2 linked regions of the Stegostoma tigrinum genome follow. The protein of the gene in region 2 purifies or fractionates together with the protein of the main gene of each other region. This does not show direct contact. Links are inferred from orthologs where the notes say so. Each region holds a gene or a part of one and is shown on either strand. Other genes may lie near its edges.

What was found. Proteins that work in one complex are often made in the same cells at the same time.
Region 1: the proteins of hspb11 (region 2) and ift22 purify together in Homo sapiens (affinity purification with mass spectrometry; 3 studies listed by BioGRID and IntAct, with this or other methods). This does not show direct contact. The link is inferred for Stegostoma tigrinum from reciprocal best matches to the Homo sapiens genes IFT25 and IFT22.

The regions. Positions count from the first base shown.
Region 1 is NC_081380.1:1,221,004-1,230,979, reverse strand, and holds the start of ift22 (intraflagellar transport protein 22 homolog), read left to right. Parts: upstream 1-4,902; 5' UTR 4,903-4,983; coding exon 4,984-5,022; intron 5,023-9,976. UniProt on the Homo sapiens protein: Small GTPase-like component of the intraflagellar transport (IFT) complex B.
Region 2 is NC_081361.1:41,474,204-41,485,337, forward strand, and holds the start of hspb11 (intraflagellar transport protein 25 homolog), read left to right. Parts: upstream 1-6,309; 5' UTR 6,310-6,351; coding exon 6,352-6,446; intron 6,447-7,476; coding exon 7,477-7,583; intron 7,584-7,921; coding exon 7,922-7,990; intron 7,991-8,104; coding exon 8,105-8,148; intron 8,149-10,911; coding exon 10,912-11,019; 3' UTR 11,020-11,134. UniProt on the Homo sapiens protein: Component of the IFT complex B required for sonic hedgehog/SHH signaling.

The DNA of each region.
Region 1 (9,976 bases), on a different chromosome or scaffold from region 2:
GGAGGTGAGACAGAGATTCTCTACAGTGAATATAGATTTAAGTACTCATTTAAATGTAGTTGGACCATGCTGCACTACTTGCTTCTTAGGGAGAAGTTTGTGGAGAAAACCCCTTTGGCCACAAGTTCATCAGGCAGTGGTCAGCATGTAATGTCCTCAAGATCCTTCAGGGAAAGGAGAAGTTCAATCCTCTCAGGTGGTTCCCTTAGCAGACTGTCAAAATCATTTGATAGAATGGCCTGTAGCTAAACCTTATAAGCAAACACCAACATGAATCTTGGCCAGTAATAAATGAGGTCTTTCCTTCAGATCCTTCCTACACACTCAGGGCCTCACCCCCTATACAGGTTGTCCTTCAGGTGGCTGTGTTGAGGAGAGACTGTTGTCCATCTCTTTCTGTGCTGTGCTTTTGCAAAGAAGGTCTGAAGAAAGATGGAATGGTTTCTGTCGCGATTCATTTCAAGCAGGTCCTAATGTGAACTCTGTGCAGTATAGGCAATTCTTTGGTCTGTTTTTGGTCTTTTTGGTCTTCCAGTGCAGTGCTATCCTCGACTGAACGATGCAGACTGGCACATTCCAAGATCCAGGAATATGTGCTGAGTGATGGACTAAAGCTGGAACCAGCTGTCACAGAATGCAGAGCAGGCAGGTCACTGCCTAATGTCATTCAGTCATAGTACTCTGGGGGGCTAGAAACTGTAGACTTTCCTCAGGTTTAAAAGAATGTTTAGTGTAAATCAATAGATTGAAAATATGTTGAGACATTACAATTTGTAATGGTTTGCTCTCAGGTTGTATACCCAAATCAAGTTTATTTTGTAAATATGAAGATTATTACAACCATATTGAATGGAAATGCTCTACAGGGGTAAGGTGAATGTTTTTGCAACTTTTGTAATATTCATGTTGAAGCATTTAGTTGTAAATTTGTAAAATTTTATGCTTAAAGTATATTGTGAAGTATAAGTAAAGTATATAGGGAGAGAAAGAAGCGTGTCTTTGCCGGGTTTGTCTGATTATGGGTTCACAGTATGCCATTTGTAAGGACAACTGATCATTTATATTTTTATTTTTGTTTTATTTGAAACACAACTGGAAAATGAAAGTCTGAGTAGCTTCTTGCAGAGAATGAACCCATTTTTCTTATTCCAACTTAAAGGAAATGTTGAATGGCTTGGTCATTTACATGTTATACAAAGGCATGTAACTTTTTAAATTGAGAAGTTAGATTTGATTATTTTATGAAAGTTGTTGGCATCAAGTGCTTTTCAGTTGAAACTAAAATAAACTATCCATCAATATCTTTTGGAATGGGTTTAAACAGCAATTTGTCACAATAAGAGGAGACACAGTTATTGAACTATGACTTCCAAAAGTCTGCAAGCAAACAAGATCTCTCTCTTTCTCTCTGAGAGGAAAATAAATGACACTCGGAGATTTTGGAAACACAGAAATTTCTAAAGCGCATCAATTTGGATTCTTTATCAACAGAATTTATTCCTTTTTGCCTGTGTTTTCCACCCATATTTCTGCAAAACAGGTATATCTTTCCTAGTTGTGAATGAATTATGTGGCTGTTTTTGATTTAAAGGGGATAGGGTTTAAGTTTGTATTGTAGTAACTAATAATTAATTTTGCCAGTTGTTGGCAGATGTTTGTTCTAGTAATTGTTTTCATATACGGCGATAAAACCTGGAGTAACTTTATTTTTACCTCGACAAGCGTCAGAGTTAGGTTTTAATCATCTTGGAGATGAAACTGGTCATATTTCTTTTTTGTAAGAAGTTGTGGAACAGCGGAGCTTGACTTTCATCAGGATCCTGATCATGAGTTTCTACTTTTAGCCCCATTAATCTTCTGAACGAATAAAGGCTAAATGTTCAGATCATGGGTATCCACTTGCAAACCCTGTTTCTGTGAATGACAGATTTGCTGGACGCTGCAGTGAATATCTGTGACTTATCCTTAGGAGATCGACTCTTGCTGACTTCTTAAAAAACAGTCAAGTACATAATAAAATGTTTATTCATGTTTGTCATGATAATCACCACACTGAACTGTACTGGCCACATCCTAGAGCAAAGCCCTCATTCAGAATTTTCACTGAAAGTTAACATGTGGTAATCACTGCAGCAGACTTTGCATTTGGAACTTGGGTGAGAGTCATTGGCTCTCTATAAATGTTCACAGGGTTTGCCCTCACAGAGTATGGGAACACAAAGTGTGATGTGGTCTGAATGCAACAAAGAACCAGTGCTAACTTGGCAATTGGGTATTGTGGGAGCTCGGTGCAGAGGGGAGGCGAATGCTGCATTTTATATTTCTGCCAGCCTCCTTATGTTCAAGGCTATAATCAGAGGAGCAGCAAGGAGGCTGTTTCGGGAGTTTTTAAAATGCCATCCTTTCAAAAGCAGATAATTGTTTAAGGTAGTCCTGTGGCAAGAGATATTACAAAAACTTTATAGCTTAATTGGTTACATTACATTCAAACTACTGACAACAGTTGAGTAATACTTATGACCATTTTTGACAATACAAATTCAATGGTTCAAAGGGCATCTTCCGTACTGTGATTCTATACAACCTAAATACATACATTTTCTTTCTAGCTTGTACCATATCACATGGGGTCACCACAATATTCGTCGGTCACTTTGAGGTCAATCAGTAGTTTGGATGTGACTGCTGTTTTTCAACTTGATGCCCTTCCTGCCACTAAATCCCACCTCCACCATTTACCTGTGCTGGCTGACTCGGAATCTCTGCTACCTTTACCATTTGCCATTGGCAGGATTTAGAGGTTGCTGTTTGGCAAGACTGTGCACATATCTTCTTGGCCAACAAGTGATGAAGGGAGGGTCGAGTACTGTATGTTTTATAGCTAAGTCTGTCGAAGAGGTTCTCTGTTAAGTAGTGTAGGAGAGTTTCATTTATTATTGTCATGTACCCAGATGCAGTGAAAAGTGTTGGTTTGCATGCTATACAGGCATGTGGTACCATGCAAAGTGCATCAGGGTAGCAGAACAGAGTGTAGTATACATTGTTACAGCGAGCGAGCGAGAGGCGAGGCGAGGCGAGGCGAGGCGAGGCGAGAGCCCGTGTGTGCATACTCAGCGTTTACATTTGAGAGGTACATTCAAAAGTCTAGCAGCAGTGGGGAAGAAGCTATACTTGAATCTGTTCATTCATGTATTTAAACTTCTTTATCTTCTGCCCAGTGGAAGAAGATGAAAGAGTGTATAACCAGGGTGGGAGGGGTCTTTAGTTATGCTGGTTGCTTTCTGAGGCAGTGGTAAGTTTAGATGGAGTCAATGGATGGAACGCTGGCTTGAACTGAATTGAATTAGCTTTATTGTCATATATACTAAATTGAGTACAGTGAAAAGTTTTATACATCACCACTTACAGCCCCATATTAGGTATAAAGGTACAGCTTCTTTCATTACAAGATCCTAGAAAATAGAGAAATAAAATGTCTAGTGTTACAGAACTAAAAGTCCAGAACCTTCCAAACCATACCAAGCTAGCACATAGCCTCCAGTTTGCACTAGGCCCTGGCTCCAGACTGTGGTGGGTTTCACCTTGAGGATCGTGAGGCTGGGAGACTGCTTTGGTGCCACCTTAAGACTGGAAAACCGTGCCAAGGCCAGGCCAGGCCAGGCCAAGAGACCTCTATGCTCGGCTGATAGGATGCCACACTGGGCAGCTGCCTCACTACACTGCGAAGTTGCCATGGGATGCCACCACGCCAGGCCAGGAGGTCGCCACTACAGGCTGCTATGCTTCACAGGACCAGGAGGCCAGTACACCAGGCCAGAAGATCATCACACCATGGCAGGAAGCCGATACTTCAGGCTGGGAGGTCGCCATAGTACGCTGCAATGCAGCCATGGCAGGCCCCTCGTCATGTCTGCACTGGGGTTAGGAGTCATCGGAGGCTGGGAGTCTTTGTTGAAGGCTGGGTTTGCGTGATTGTCTGGGCTATGTTCATGGGACAGATCACGTAGTACAAATCTGGAAACTTAAAAAGCAATGGCAAGGCAATAGTGCAGGATAATGATAACCAAAGTATCACAGAAAGGAGCAGAATGTACAATAGGCTCAAAGGAAACAAAAACCCTATCTGATGTGTGCAGCATTTGTAAGACAGATGACTTAAAAGCTTACATTAAAACAAATCATTGTGATAACATAGTTATTACAGACACAGTGACTTAAAATTTCCTCTGACTTTTTTAATGACAGAAAACAACCAAAAAAATTAAATAAAAACTTCTGCAAGTATACGCCTATTTATCTTTCCTGGGATGCGACTGCTACTGTCTGTCAATCGTTAATTGCTATCACAGAATTCATTCATACACTGCAGAGAGAACACCATCAAGCCTGCACCAACATGCCTAGAGCCCTAGCCTATCCCTGTAACCCCCGAATTTACCTCAGCTAATCCACACAGGCTACACATCCATGAACACCACAGACAATTTAGCATGGCCAATGCTCATCTTTAAACTTCGGAAGGAAACTGAAGCAGCTGGCAGACATAAGAGGGAATGTGGAAACTCCAGAAAGCGGAAGAGCAGAGGTGGGATCACACTGAAAAGGAACTTTTTAACTCTGAAGCTGTGGCATAGGGCTGGGGTTGTGAGCCCAAGGGACCTTAAACTATCAATGTCCACCAGCCTTTCGGTGGTGGAGGAACACAGGGACAGGAGTAGGCAATTTAGCCCTTCGAGCCTACCGTCTATTCATTCGGGCCATGGCTAACCTGTGGCCTAACTGATCTAGGCCCAAAGCGTCTACCTTCCGGCTCCGCTGATGCTCCTTGACCTCTTGTGTTCATCCGCGGAGGAGGCGGGGATTTCGACGCCGCATCGGAGACGTTCGGCGGCAAACGGCCGGGGGAGGGCGGGGTTTTCAGCCCCGGCGGCGGGTGAGGCAATTTCCATGGTAACGGAAGCGGCGGTCACCTGACCAGCCGCCATGTTTAACATCAAATTGTTGCTGCTCGGACCCCGAGAGGTACGTTAAAGACGGGCATGGGAGCAGGGGGAGGGGGAAATACGGGAGAAAGAGTGGATGAGTGAGGAGGACAGTTTGTGAGAGAAAGAGAGCGCGATGGGGACGGGGGGCTGATGGGGATATGGGGTCAGGGGGGCTGATGGGGATGGGGGGGGACTGATGGGTTGGGGGGTCTGATGGGGATATGGGGACGGGGGGGGCTGATGGGGATATGGGGACGGGGGGGGCTGATGGGGATATGGGGACGGGGGGGCTGATGGGGATATGGGGACGGGGGGGCTGATGGGGATATGGGGACGGGGGGGCTGATGGGGATATGGGGACGGGGGGGCTGATGGGGATATGGGGACGGGGGGGCGATGGGGATATGGGGACGGGGGGTGCGATGGGGATATGGGGACGGGGGGTGCGATGGGGATATGGGGACGGGGGGTGCGATGGGGACGGGGGGGCGATGGGGATATGGGGACGGGGGGTGCGATGGGGATATGGGGACGGGGGGTGCGATGGGGATATGGGGACGGGGGGTGCGATGGGGATATGGGGACGGGGGGTGCGATGGGGATATGGGGACGGGGGGGGCGATGGGGATATGGGGATGGGGGGGCGATGGGGATATGGGGATGGGGAGAATGGGGATGGGTGGGCGATGGGGATATGGGGAGAATGGAGATGGGGGGGCTATGGGGATATGGGGGGTGATGGGGATATGGGGTTGGGGGGGAATGGGGATATGGGAATGGGGGGCAATGGGGATATGGGGATGGGGGAGAATGGGGATGGGGGGACGATGGGGATATGGGGATGGGGGGACGATGGGGATATGGGGATGGGGGGACGATGGGGATATGGTGAATGGGGGGGAATGGGGATGGGGGGTGATTGGGGGGAATGGGGATTGGGGGGTGATGAGGATATGGGGATTGGGGGGTGATGGGGGAGAATGGGGATTGGGGGGTGATGGGGGAATGGGGATATGGGGATTGGGGGGTGATGGGGGAGAATGGGGATTGGGGGGTGATGGGGGAATGGGGATGGGGGGGTGATGGGGATGGGGGAGAGTGGGGATTGGGGGGGTGATGGGGGGAATGGGGATATGGGAATGGGGGGGCGATGGGGATATGGGGATGGGGAGAATGGGGATGGGGGGGCGATGGGGATATGGGGAGAATGGAGATGGGGGGGCTATGGGGATGGGGGGGTGATGGGGATATGGGGATGGTGGGTGATGGGGATATGGGGTGATGGGGGGAATGGGGATATGGGGATGGGGGGGGCGATGGGGGAATGGGGATATGGGGATGGGGGGGGCGATGGGGGAATGGGGATATGGGGATGGGGGGGGTGATGGGGGAATGGGGATATGGGGATGGGGGGGCGATGGGGGGCGATGGGGATATGGGGATGGGGGGGAATGGGGATGGGGGGGGAATGGGGGGGGAATGGGGATATGGGGATGGGGGGGCGATGGGGATATGGGGATGGGGGGGCGATGGGGATATGGGGATGGGGGGGCGATGGGGATATGGGGATGGGGGGGCGATGGGGATATGGGGATGGGGGGCGATGGGGATATGAGGATGTGGGGATGGCGGGGGATATGAGGATATGGGGGAATGGGGTTATGGGGATGGGGGGGAATGGGGATATGGGGATGGGGGGGCGATGGGGATATGGGGATGGGGGGCGATGGGGATATGGGGATGGCGGGGGATATGAGGATATGGGGGAATGGGGATATGGGGATGGGGGGCGATGGGGATATGGGGATGGCGGGGGATATGAGGATATGGGGGAATGGGGTTATGGGGATGGGGGGCGATGGGGATATGGGGATGGGGGGTGATGGGGGTATGGGGATGGCGGGGGATATGGGTGATGGGGGAATGGGGATATGGGGATGGGGGGGAATGGGCATAATAGGGATGGGCGGGAATGGGGATGGGGGGGTGATGTGGAGGAGCGGGGATATGGGGATGGGGGGGTGATAATGGGGATATGGGGAATGGGGGGTGATTATGGGGATGGGGGTGATTATGGGGATGGGGGGTGATGGGGACGGGGGGCTGATGGGGGGAATGGGGATGGTGGGGTGATGGAGAAATGGGGAATGGGGATGGGGGGGATGGGGATTGGGGGGAATGGGGATGGGCGGGAATGGGGAAATGGGGATGGGGGTGTGATGTGGAGGAGCGGGGATATTGGGATTGGGGGGTGATGGGGAGGTGATGGGGGGGAATGGGGGGGAATGGGGATGGGGAGGTGATGGGGGGAATGAGGATGGGGAGGTGATTGGGGGGAATGGGGATATGGGGATGGGGGGGAATGGGGATATGGAGATGGGGGGGAATGGGGATGGGGAGGTGATGGGGGGGAATGGGGATGGGGAGGTGATTGGGGGGAATGGGGATGGGGAGGTGATTGGGGGGAATGGGGATATGGGAATGGGGGGGAATGGGGATATGGAGATGGGGGGGAATGCGGATGGGGAGGTGATGGGGGGGAATGGGGATGGGGAGGTGATTGGGGGGAACGGGGATATGGGGATGGGGGGTGTTTGGGGGGGAACAGGGATTTGGGGATGGGGTGTGATTGGGGGGAAACGGGGATATGGGGATGGGGGGATGGCGATATGGGGGATGGGGATGCGGGGGTGATGGGGGGGGATGGGGATGCGGGGGTGATGGGGGGGGATGGGGATGCGGGGGTGATGGGGGGAATGGGGATATGGGGATGGGGGGTGATTAGGGGGGATATGGGGATGGGGGGGTGATTGGCGGGGATGGGGATGGGGGAATGGGGATATGGGGATGGGGGGGTGATGAGGATATGGGGATGGAGGGTTGATGGGGATATGGGGATGGGGTTTGATGGGGATATGGTGAATGGGGGGGGAATGGGGATGGGGGGTGATTGGGGGGAACGGGGATATGGGGATATGGGGATGGGGGGGTGATGAGGATATGGGGATGGGGGGTTGATGGGGATGGGGGGTTGATGGGGATATGGGGATAGGGGGTTGATGGGGATGGGGGGAATGGGGATGGGGGGTTGATGGGGATATGGGGATAGGGGGTTGATGGGGATGGGGGGAATGGGGATGGGGGGGTGAGTGGGGGGGAAGGGGGATTTGGGGATTGCAGGGGTGATTGGGGGGGAACGGGGATTTGGGGATGGGGGGGAACGGGGATTTGGGGATGGGGTGTGATTGGGGGGAATGGGGATATGGGGATGGGGAGGTGATGGGTATGGGGAGGTGATGGGGGGGAATGGGGATGGGGAGGTGATTGGGGGAATGGGGATATGGGGATGGGGGAGTGATTGGGGGGGAATACGGATATGGGAATGGGGATATGGGGATGGTGGGGGATATGGGGATGGGGGGGAATGGGGATATGGTTTTGGGGTTGGTGATGGAGGTGGAATGGGGATATGGGGATTGGGGGGTGATGGGGGGGAATGGGGATGGGGGGGTGATGGGGGGAATGGGGATGGCGGGGTGATGGGGATATGGGGAGAATGGGGATGGTGAGGTGATGGGGATATGGGGAGAATGGAGATGGGGGGATGATGGGGGGGATATGGGGAGAACGGGGATGGGGGGATGATGGGGGGGGAATGGGGATATGGGGAGAACGGGGATGGGGGGGTGATGGGGGGGAATGGGGATATGGGGATCGGGGGGTGATGTGGAAGAGCGGGGATATGGGGATTGGGGGCTGATGGGGGGACAGGGAATATGGGGATGGGGGGGGATTGGGGATGGGGAGGTGATGGGGGGGGAATGGGGATATGGGGATGGGGGGTGAAGGGGGGGGAATACGGATATGGGGATGGTGGGGGATATGGGGATGGGGGGGAATGGGGATATGGGGATGGGGGGGTGATGGGGATGGGGGGTGATGGGGGGTAATGGGGATATGGGGATGGGGGTTGATGGGGGAAATGGGGATATGGGGATGGTGGGGGAATGGGGATATGGGGAAGGGGGGAATGGGGATATGGGGATGGGGGTGGTATGGGGATATGGGGATGGGGGTGGTGATGGAGCGGGGAATGGGGATATGGGGATGGGGTTTGGTGATGGAGGGCGGAATGGGGATGGGGGGGTGATGGGGGAGATATGGGGATGGGGGTTGATGGGGGGGGAATGGGGATATGGGGATGGGGGGGTGATGGGGGGGGAATGGGGATATGGGGATGGGGAATGGGGATGGTGGGGTGATGGGGAGAATGGGGATGGGGAGGTGATGGGGATATGGGGAGAATGGGGATGGGGCGGTGAAGGGGATGGGGCGGCGATGGGGATATGGGGAGAATGGGGATGGGGGGGCTATGGGGAGAATGGGGATGGGGGGGCGATGGGGATTTGGGCAAAATGGGGATGGGGCGGCGATGGGGATATGGGCAGAATGGGGATTGGGGGGTCATGGGGATATGGGGAGAATGGGGATGGGGGGGTTATGGGGATGGGGGTTTGATGGGGATATGGGGATGGGGGGAATGGGGATATGGGGATGGGGGGGGAATGGGGATTTGGGGATTGGGGGGGAACGGGGATTTGGGGATGGGGGGAACGGGGATTTGGGGATGGGGTGTGATTGGGGGGGAATGGGGATATGGGGATGGGGAGGTGATGGGAATGGGTATGGGGGGGTGATGGGGGGGAATGGGGATGGGGAGGTGATGGGGGGGAATGGGGATGGGGAGGTGATTGGGGGGAATGGGGATGGGGAGGTGATTGGGGGGAATGGGGATATGGGGATGGGGGGGTGATTAGGGGGGAACGGTGATTGGGGGGGAACGGGGATATGGGGATGGGGGGGTGATTGGGGGGGAACGGGGATATGGGGATGGGGGGGGTGATTGGGGGGGAACGGGGATGGGGGAATGGGGATATGGGGATGGGGGGTGATGAGGATATGGGGATGGGGAGTTGATGGGGATATGGGGA
Region 2 (11,134 bases):
ACATCATGGGCCAAAGGGCCTGTACTGTTCTATGTTCTATGTTTTAAATACTGACCTGACTAGTGAAACCCACATCCCATCAGTGAATAAAACAAAACTCCATTTCCTTGGTTCTTTCATCCAGATCATTAATATATAATAAATAGCTCTGGTCCCAACACTCTCCGCTGCTGAACTCCACCAGTCACTTGTTGCCATTCTGAAAAATCCTCACTTTATCCCTTTATCTGTCTTCTGCCAATTAGCCAATACTTTATCCACGCCAATACTTTGCTCCTAACACCATGGGCTTTTATCTCATAGAGTCACAGAGTCATAGAGTCATACAGCACAGAAATAGACTCTTCAGTCCATCCTGTCCTTGCTGACCAGGTTCCTCATTATGGCTTTCCAAACTTAAACTAGTCCCATTTGCCAACATTTGGCCCATATCCCTCTAAAACCTTCCTAATCATGTACCTGTCCAAATGTCTTTAAAATGTGCATCTACCACATCTTCTGGCAGTTCATTTCACTCACAAACTACCCTCAGTGTGAAAAGGTTGTCCCTCAGGTCCCTTTGAAATCTTCCCCTCACAACTTCAACCTATGCCTTCTAGTTTTGGACTCCCTACCCTAGGGAAAGGCATTATAAAAGATTTTATATACCTCTGTAAAGTGGCCCCTCAGCTTCCTCTGCTCCAGTGAAAGAAGTCCCAGCCTGTCCAGCCTCTCCTTATAACTCAAATCCTCCAATCCCAGTAACATCCTTGTAAATCTTTTCTGCACTCTTTACAGTTTATTAACATAATTCTTTACAGCATGACACCCTGAATTGTATGTAGTACTCCAAAAGTGGCCTCACCAATGTCCTGCACAGCCACATGACATCCCAACTCCTACGGAGGCATGGGATTGAGAGTGATTTAGCGGTTTGGATCAGAAATTGGCTAGCTGTAAGTAGACAGTGGGTGGTGGTTGTTGGGAAATGTCCATCGTGGAGTTCAGTTACTAGTGGTGAACCGCAAGGATCTGCTTTGGGGCCACTCTTGTCATTTTTATAAATGACCTGGATGAGGGCGCAGAGGATGGGTTAGTAAATTTGCAGATGACACTAAAGTCGGTGGAGTTGTGGATAGTGTGTAAGGATGTTGCAGGTTACACAGGGACATAAGCTGCAGGGCTGGGCTAAGAAGTGGCAAATGGAGTTTAATGCAGAAAGGTGCGAGGTGATGCACTTTGGAAGGAGTAACAGAAATACAGAGTACTGGGCTAATGGTAAGATTCTTGGTAGTGTGGATGAGCAGAGAGATCTCGGTGTCCATGTGTATAGATCCCTGAAAGTCGCCACCCAGGGTGATAGGGTTGTTAAGAAGGCGTACGGTGTGTTAGATTTTATTGGTAGAGGGATTGAGTTTCAGAGCCACGAGGTCACGTTGCAGGTGTACAAAACTCTGGTGCGGCCACACTTGGAGTATTGTGTACTGGTCGCTGCATTATAGGAAGGATGTGGAAGCATTAGAAAGGGTGTACAGGAGGTTTACCAGGAAATTGCCTGGTAATGGAGGGAAGGTCTTATGAGGAAAGGCTGAGGGGCTTGAGGCTGTTTTCGTTAGAGAGAAGAAGGTTAAGAGGTGACTTAATAGAGACATACAAGATGATCAGAGGATTAGATAGGGTCGACAGTGAGAGCCTTTTTCCCCCGGATGGCGACGGCTAGCACGAGGGGACATAGCTTTAAATTGACGAGTGATAGATATGGGACAGATGTCAGAGGTAGGTGCTTTACTCAGAGAGTAATAAGGGCGTGGAATGCCCTGCCTGCAACAGTAGTAGACTTGCCAACTTTAAGGGTATTTAAATGGACATTGGATTAACACATGGATGATAACGGAATAGTGTAGGTTAGATGGGCTTCAAATTGTTGCACCGACCTGTGAAACCATCGAGGGCCGAAGGGCCTGTACTGCGCTGTAATGTTCTATGTTCTTGCCTTCATTGGTCAGACCCTTGAGTAAAGTGTGCCAATGTCTTCATCACCACCAAGTCTACCTGTGACACCACTTTCAAAGAACTATGTACTTGAACGCCTAGGTCTCTCTATTCATCAGTCCTCCCCAGGGCCCTACCATTAACAGTTTAAGTCCTTCCCCAGACGGTCTTACCGAAATGCAACACCTATCTAAATTAAACTTCATTCGCCACTCCTTGGCCCATGGACCCATCTGATCAAGATCCTGTTGTACCCTGAGATTACCTCTTTCACTGCTCAGTATTCCACCAATTTTGGTGTCGTCTACAAACTAACTAACCTTGCCTCCTATATTCTCATGTAGATCATTGTACAAAAAGGACAAACAATAGTGGGCCTAGTATTGATCCTTGCAGAACACCGCTAGTTAAAGGCCTCCAGTCTCCGAAACAATCCTTCACCACTACTCTCCGTCTCCCACTGGCAAACCAACTTGTATCTAATTGGCTATATCTCCCTGGATCCCATCCAATCTAACTTTATTAACCAGTCTATCATGTAGAACTTTGACAAATGCCTTGCTAAAGTCCACGTAGACAACATCCACTACTCTGCCTTCATCTATCCTCTTGGTCATGTCCTCAAAAAGCTCAGTTTTGTCAGACACAATTTCCCATGCACAAAGCCATGCTGGCTATCCCTAATCAGAGGCAGCTTGTCAAAGGCCTATTGATCCAAATAGCTCATGTCCATTGGCTCTCCTTTGTCAAACTTGCTCATTAGTTCTGCAAAGAGATTTGTCAGGCATGACCTCCCCTTAAGGAAGCCATGCTGACTCAGCACTTCCAAGTACACTCAATCTCATCCATAACAACGGGCTCTATAATCTTAAAAAAACGACTGAGGTCAGACTAATCGGCATATAGTTTCCAGTCTTCTGCCTCCCTCCCCTCTTAAACAGGGTGTTATATTAATCATTTTCCACTCCTCTGGCACCCTCCCTGACTCCAATGATTCCTGAAAGATCACCACGAATGCTTTGGTCCAGGTGATTAATCCACCTTCAGGCCTTCCTACATCTCCAGCATCACTTTTCAGTGGTCCAACGTCCATTCTTGCCTCTCTCTCTTAGCTACATATATCTAAAAAAAACTCTTGCAATCTTCCTTTATATTACTAGTTAGTTTACACTCATATTTCATCCACCCGCTTTTTTAGTTATACTCTGCTGGTTTTAAAGACTTCCCAGGATAATCTTCACCCATTGTATATTACTTCATTTGCTTTTATGCTGTCCCTGACTTCTCGTCAGCCATGGTTGCTTCGTAATCCCCTTTGTATGTTTCTTTTTTCTAGTGGGCTCTACCACAAGCTGCTCCAACAAAAACACCTCGTAGACATTCTGCAAATTCCTTTTCTTGAGATCCACTACCTATCTGATTTTCCCAGTCCACCTGCATACTGTAGTCCCCCATGATTATTATAAAAAAAGTAATTTTCTTACATGCATTTTCTATCTCCTAGTTTATTTTCTTCCCCATATCCTAACTACTGCTAGGACATAACTCCTATTTGGGTCTTATTTCCTTTGCAGTTCTAACCACACAGATTCTACACATTTCAACTCTTTCTTACTTCTTGCTATCAATTTAATTTGACTTCTCACTAACACGGCAACGCTGCCCCTTCTGTCCATTTGCCTGTCCTTTCAATAGGACATGTTTCCTCAGATGTTTAGTTCCCAGCCCTGATCCCCTTGCAGCCATGTCTCTGTGATGCCCACTACAATGCACCCATCAATTTCAGTCTGCACTACAAACTCATTTATCTTGTTTCATATATAGCGTTTATTGAAGTATGACACCTTCGGTCCTGTGTCGACTGCCCCCTTCTCATGGCTGTCTCCTTATCTGCTGTGCCTGAAGTTAGATTTTTAACATGTTCCATACTCTCTCCTTTTACTTGTTCTGAAAATTTTACTAACCTCTGCTGAGTCCTCCCTGCTTTTAACTTTTTCCATGCAACTGAACCCACCCTCCTAATAATTAGTTTAAAGCGCTGTCCACAGCCCTAGTTATGTGATTCTCCAGGGCTCTGATCCCAGCATAATTCAGGTGGGAGTCCATTCCATTGGAACAGCTCCCTCCTTCTCCAGTACTGGTGCCAAAGTCCTATGAATTCAAACCCGTTTCTCCTATACACCCAATCTTTGAGCTACGTGTTTACTTCTTTAATCTTGCTCACCCTATGCCTATTCCCTTGTGGCTCAGATAGAAATCAGAGATTAACTTTTGGTTCTACTTTCTAATTGAGCCCTTAAGCTGTTCATATTACCTCAGCAGAACGTCTTTCCTCTTTCTACCTATATGGACCATGACAACTGGATCTTTCCCTCCCACTCCAAGTTCCTCTCCAGCCAGATGAGATACCCGGAACCCAGCCAAGTAACATAACATTCAGGACTCTTGATCCTGAAAACACAGAAATGGCTATTCCTCTGGCTATACTACTCTTGATTACAACTACTTTTCTTTCTTCTCCCCCCTCTGGAATGGCTTCCTGTACCACTTTGGTCAGTTTGCTCATCCGCCCTACAGCCCCCACTCTCATTACACAGGGAGCAAGAATCTCAAACCTGTTAGATAAGCTCAAGGGCTGGTATCTCCAGCCTACCTCCTGGATTCCTCTACATGCCTCACTTGTCATCACGTCACCCTGTTCTTGACCGAATTTGAGGTAGTTAATCTAAGGGGCGTGACTGCCTTCTGAAACAGTGTCCAGGTAAATCTACCCTCCATGATGAGTTGCAGAGTACAAAGTTCAGATTCCAGCTCATCAAAAAGAAAAAGGGCTTGCACTTGGGGAGAGCAGATTTTAGTAAAATAAGGCAAGATATGGCCAAGGTAGGCTGGGAACAACTACTATTGGGGCACGGGGGGACATGCACAGGAGATTCATCAAAGTGCTGCCTGGGATGTAAAATTTAAGTTTGAGGAAAGGTTTGATAGGCTTGCATTGCTTTCACTGGAGCAGAGAAGACTGAAAGGTGGTCTGATTGAGGTCTACATAATTATGAGGGGCATGGACAGAATGGATAAGGAGTAGCGATTCCCCTCAGTTAAAAGGTCAGTGACAAGGGTATACAGGCTGAAGGTGAGGAGGAGGTTCGGTGGAGAGTGCAAATGAAAGGAAAAACTTTTTTGGCAACAGTGTGTAATATGCTGCCTGGGTTAGTAGTAGAAGTATGGTGTCTCAAATTCTTTAAAAAGTACTTGGATGAGCACTTAACAGGTCATAGCATTCAAGGTCACGGTCAAGAGCTCATCAATGGGATTAAGTTGAAGATCAGGTGTTTCTCATGTTTCGGTGCAGACTCAATAGGCCGAAGGGCCTCTTCTGCACGGTATGATTCTATGATGTTAACTCTGAGCCACAGTTCCTCAAGCGACCAACACTTGCTAGAGATGTGGTCACCATGAACCATTATAAAACATAAATTTCCAAAACCAGACATCAAAATTTGTAATGATAATGTTGGATTTAGACAAACCCATTTGAGAAGTTTAGGTCACCATGCAAAACAAAGAAAAAAACACTAACCTTTAAATGTATTCTATTGTAATCATCTAGTGTCTTTTTTCAGGGTCAAATTACCCCCTGAAGACATAGTTTTTTACAAGACAGTCAAAACAAACGCTTTCATCAGAAAACAAACTGTATTCCACCAACATTAATTTAAATGTCACATATTACCCATCTCTAATGGAACTAGAGTGGCGTGTTGCTTCATGTGCATAATCTCAGTTATTTCTCTTACCTACAATCAATTACATGATAGAACAACATACTAACATCCTTAAATTTCTTACTGCTTAAAATTCATATCAAGCTAATTTTAAACTTAACCACTAAAGTATCTCCAGTGTTGAAAAAAAACACTCATATCTCCTTGGGAGAGGGACAGGCAATACAAAATCCGGATGAGTCCAAAAACAATTCATTCAGCAACTCACTAGGACAATAGAGTCAGGCTCTTCTATCCTAGATTAATATCTCTCCCAGCTCTCACAAGTGGCTGCAAATGTCACATCCTGAAAATGAGGGCTGGGGAGGAAACACTTTCCCTTAAACTTCTGCCCACTTATTCCACCGAGTCCAACACTTACCCTGGCTGGTCACTGCTAGTGCCTGGCTGTAGCCACAAGGATTCCCAAATGAGCTGTAAAACTCACCAAACTACTAAACCTCCTGTTTCCCAGGAGGGGAGCACGGAACCATAACGCAGAAAATTGAGGGAAGGTGATTATGGGAAGGACCGGAAGTCACCGCCGGTCACGGGGGGAGTATATGTGAAGGACCGGAAGTGGCGGGTTGCTGTAGTAACGGCCGGGGAGGTTGACATGAAGCGGGATTTCGGTTTGACGGTGGCGGGGACGCAGGTTGTGTTGGCGGCGTCTTCAGATGAGAAACACCCGCCGGAGAACATCCTGGACGGGTGAGGATCTTCAGCTTGTCCGTGCGGTTGGCGAACAGGATCGTCCCCTTAGATAACACAGCATTGCGTTGATATAGCGCCTGGCGCGTGCCCTACACCTTGAGAATTTCTAAGTACCCATTGCCCTGCGAGAAATCCTATCAAAGTTGGCTGTTCGTCAGCTTTTTATTTTAGTTATGAAATGGTTGCGTCGACAGTCTGATGCTATTACTTCAGCTCCATGCCCGGATTATGCAGTAAAATGCCTCAATTCTTTGCAGAACCAGTGTCGGGTGGTAGAGGTGGAATTCTCGGCAGAAAGGTAGTTAGATCTATCAGTGAGACTTCTTTCACGGTCAAAAGCGAACACCCCTGCTTTGGTAGAGGTTGCAATATAGCCTAGTGATAAAAAGACCTTTTATTTATATGATAACAGTATGGAGCTGGAGGAACGCGGCAGGCCCAGCAGCATTAGAGGAGCAGGAAAGTTGACGTTTCGGCTCGGGACCTTTCTTCAACACTTTTCACAACCACCAGCTTTCTCAAAGTGTTTTCCAGCTAACTAAGTCCATTGAAGTGTAGTTACAGTTGTAATTCAACATTTAACAGCAGCTAATTGTACGCATTGCAAGGTCCCACAGACAGAAATAACCACAGATTATCTGCGGTTTTGAGAGTGCTAAGTATTGGACAAGATAACTAGGTATAATATTCCGGCTTTTCAAATGCAAGTGTCTCCCCTCCCACTCTGATTAAAGGGAGATTGCACCCAAATGAAAAATGTAGCAAATTTTATCCCAAGAATTGCCAGATTATAGTCCAGAAACTTTGACTGTTTTCCTTTTCTCTTACCCACTATCCAATGCTTGGGATTGTTTTATCAAATTCAAGGTGCTCTATGAATGCAAGTCATTTTCATCTAGGCTCGGCACGAAGAACAGTCACCTGCTAGAACTGGCTATCTATGATACTAATGAGACACAGATTAGAAAAAAAGATGAAAATTCAATAAACAAAAATACCAAGTCTCATACTGTACTTCTGTTCACAGTAATACAGAATCATTTTGGATTACAACAGGAATGTTCCCACAAGAATTTATCCTAAGTTTTGCTAATCTTATAAAAATTAGCTCAATGAAAATTCACTGTTACAATGGTAAGATTTTTGCTGCTTTTTAATTACTATATTTGAATATACTAATGATTTACTATGATAAACAAGCTACTTTACCTCGTTCCATATGGATCAAAGAATAAAGTGCAATGAACAGTAGTTCTTAATTATTCATGATCTTTACCAAGCTTTTATGCATGACTTTGCAAATACCTATTCAGTTTTGAGAGGAGTATATTTCTAGCTATATTTCAGTGTAAATGCATGAGTAAACATTGAACTATCTTGCAAAATTCATGAGAATAAAGTAAGACACCATCTACTCAAAATAATTGTAAATGTTCCAAAAGTAATAAGTTTTTCTTGGTTTACCATTCCAGTGCGTAACCTTGGTATTGAGAGAAGTATAGCAAGAGATCCTGTAGATTTTGAACCATTGAGTAACAATGGTAAGTGTACTCAACAAATATTTTGATAATATTGCCAAGATTGTTGTTGAAAATAGTTGCTTCCGTTCCATTTCTTTTGATGGTTTTCATCCTGTTGTGCTTACTTTTTACCAGAACTTGAGCGCTCTGAGGAACAGCTTCAAGTAAAGGAATTTACAGTAAGTAAATTCTACAAAAAGCTGAGGTAACATATTAGGTATGAAATCATTATAGGTCAGTTCCTCCCCAAAGTAGTATTGAATAGTGTTGTAGCGGTTTGATTTCCCCATTTCTACTGAAGTTTTTGATCTCTATGGTGCTGTTGCAGCAAGCTTCTGAGCGAAGGACAATCACTTTCCCAAGTTGGAAAATGAGGCCAATTCAAATAATGTACACGTACACATTATTAAATTTAACTAAGTGGTTCAAAATAATATTCATTATTTTGGGAATGCAAGGTGCACTGTGACCTAGTTTGCTAAGTAAAATAACATAACAATTCAAGGGTCAAAAAAGGGTAGAGACTTTAATGAATTATAAATACTAGCATGGACTGGGTTGACCAAATGGTCTGTTTCTTGCTGTATTGCTAACATTAATGCCACTCAAATAAAAGGCAATGACTTTCTCCAGCTGGAAATAATCTAACCATCGTCCCTTCACATACAGTGGCATTACTTTGGCTTCACATTGGGATTACCCATCATCGTGTTATGCGGCATTATCACAATGCCAAAATGGGATAGACTTAAACAGACCTAGCAACTCAAGTTTGGCTATTCATAAGGTGCTATGGGCATCACAGCAGCAGAATCTCCAACATAATCTGCAACCACATGACCCAGCATACCCCCATTCAGTTATTACCATCAAGACAGGCGATCAACTCTGGTTCAATGGAGTGTGCAGGAGCAGCACCAGCCATACCTAAAAATAAGTTGTCAACTTGGTGAAACTAAGTAGGGCTACCAAACGGCATAAACAGCAAGTTGTAGGCAGCAAAACTATCCCACAATCAACTGATGAGATCTAAGCTCCACTGTCCTGCAACATCCAATCATCAGTGGACAATTAAACAACTCATCGGAGGAGTCATCTCCAGAAACATTCCCATCCTCAATGATGGCAGAGTTGAGCACATCAGTACAAACAGTAGGGTAGAAGCATTTGCAGTAATCTTCAACCAGAAATATTGAGTGGATGATCCATTGTGGCCTCCTCCAGTGGTCCCACATCACAGATGCCAGCCTTCAGCCAAAGAAATGTTTGAAGACATTGGATACGGCTAAGATTCCAGGCCCAGACAACACTTTGGCAATAGTATTGAAGAATACAAAACTTGCCGTACCATAGCTAAGCTGTTTCGGTTCAGCTACAACACCGGCATTTCCCCAACTGTTTGGAAAATTGCCCAGATATGTTCTGTACATAAAAAGTAGGATAAATCTGACCTGGTCATTTTCCAGCCCATCAATCTATTCTCGATCATTAGTAAAGTGATGGAAGGTGTCATCAACAGAGCTATCAAGCAGCACCTGCTAAGCAATAATCTGCTCAGTGACGCCCAGTTTGGGTTCTGTCAGGGCCAGTCAGCTGTTGATCTCATTACAGCCTTGGTTCAAACGTGGTCAAAAGAGCAGATTTCTAGAGGTGAGATGAGAGTGACCTCAAGACTGCATTTGACGGTGTGGCATCGAGGAGCCCTAGCAAAACTGGAATCCATGGTAATCGGAAGTATGAAGGCAGCTCACCATACCTTCTCACGCACAACCAGGGATGGGTAATGAATGATGGCCAGCCAGCAACACCTACGACCTACGAATGACTAAAATAAATCCCCTGCTTCCAACATTGTGAAGTTGCCATTGACTGGAAACTGAACTGGACTAGTCGCATTAAACTGTGAGTACAAAAGGAAGTCTGAGGTTAAGAATGTGACAGGTAAATGACCCCAAACTCCCCAAAATCTGTGCACGATCTATGAGGCACAAATCATGTGATGGAATACTCCACTTGCCTAGATGTGTGCAGCGCGAATAACTCTCAAGAATTTCTTCCCAGGATAAAATATCCAGCCTGTTTGGCATCCTATCCACCAACTTACTTATACACTGCCTCTCTTACTGATGCAGAGTGTTAGCAGTGTGTGCTTTCCATAAGGTGCGCTGCACCACTCACCAAGGTTCTTTTTACAGCACCTACCAAACCTGCAACTTCGAGCACTTATGCCATGGAGAGCAAACATGTGGGAGCACCACCACCTGCAAATTCTCCTTCAAATCATAACTAACCTGACTTGGAACTAACATTGCCATTCCTTCATTATTGTACATCTCAATCTTAGTACTCCCTTCCCGCTGTGTCTACCTAGCCCCATGGACTGCAGTGATTCAAGACAGCTGTCATACTTTAAAGGGCAAGTAGATGGGGACAATAGATGTTTATTTTTAAATTCATTCTTGAGATATGAACATCATTGACTAGGCCAGTATTTTTTGCCTATTCCTAATTACCCAGAGGGCATTTAAGTAATATCCACATATTACTGTGGATCCAAAGTCACTTGTGGACAAGACCAGATAAGGGCAGCAGATTGTCATCTCTCAGGGTCATTAAAGAACCAGATGGCTGTTGTCAATTGACAGTGATTCCATGGTCAGCATTAGGCTAGCTTTTTATTGAATTTAAACTTCATCTGACAAGGTGGGTTTCAAATCCATATCCCCAGAATATTAAGCCTGGTTTAGGAGTCCAGTGATGTTACCACTCTCCCACAGCCTCCCCTCAAAGGCAGTTTAGTCAGTAATGCCCAAATTCTGTAAATCAGATAAGAAATCACATTATATGATGATATACATCTTGAAAATTGTGTTCTGAGTTGGGCATGCACTAACCTTTTCAAAAAAAAAAGTGTGAATTAATAAATTATATTCTCTATATAGCAGGATGAAACTAGAGCTACACATCTACGATTTATCATAAAGTCTGGTTTTGATCACTTTGTGTCAGTACACAAGGTTACAGTGGAAGGTACAGAGGAAGATGCCTGAGTCTACACTGCACAACTCTTGCTAACAGGACTTGATGGAACATTGATGTTGAGAAAATCTAACTAGTGTACATCCATCTACAGTATATTTATTATAAACCATAATTAGTGGATTG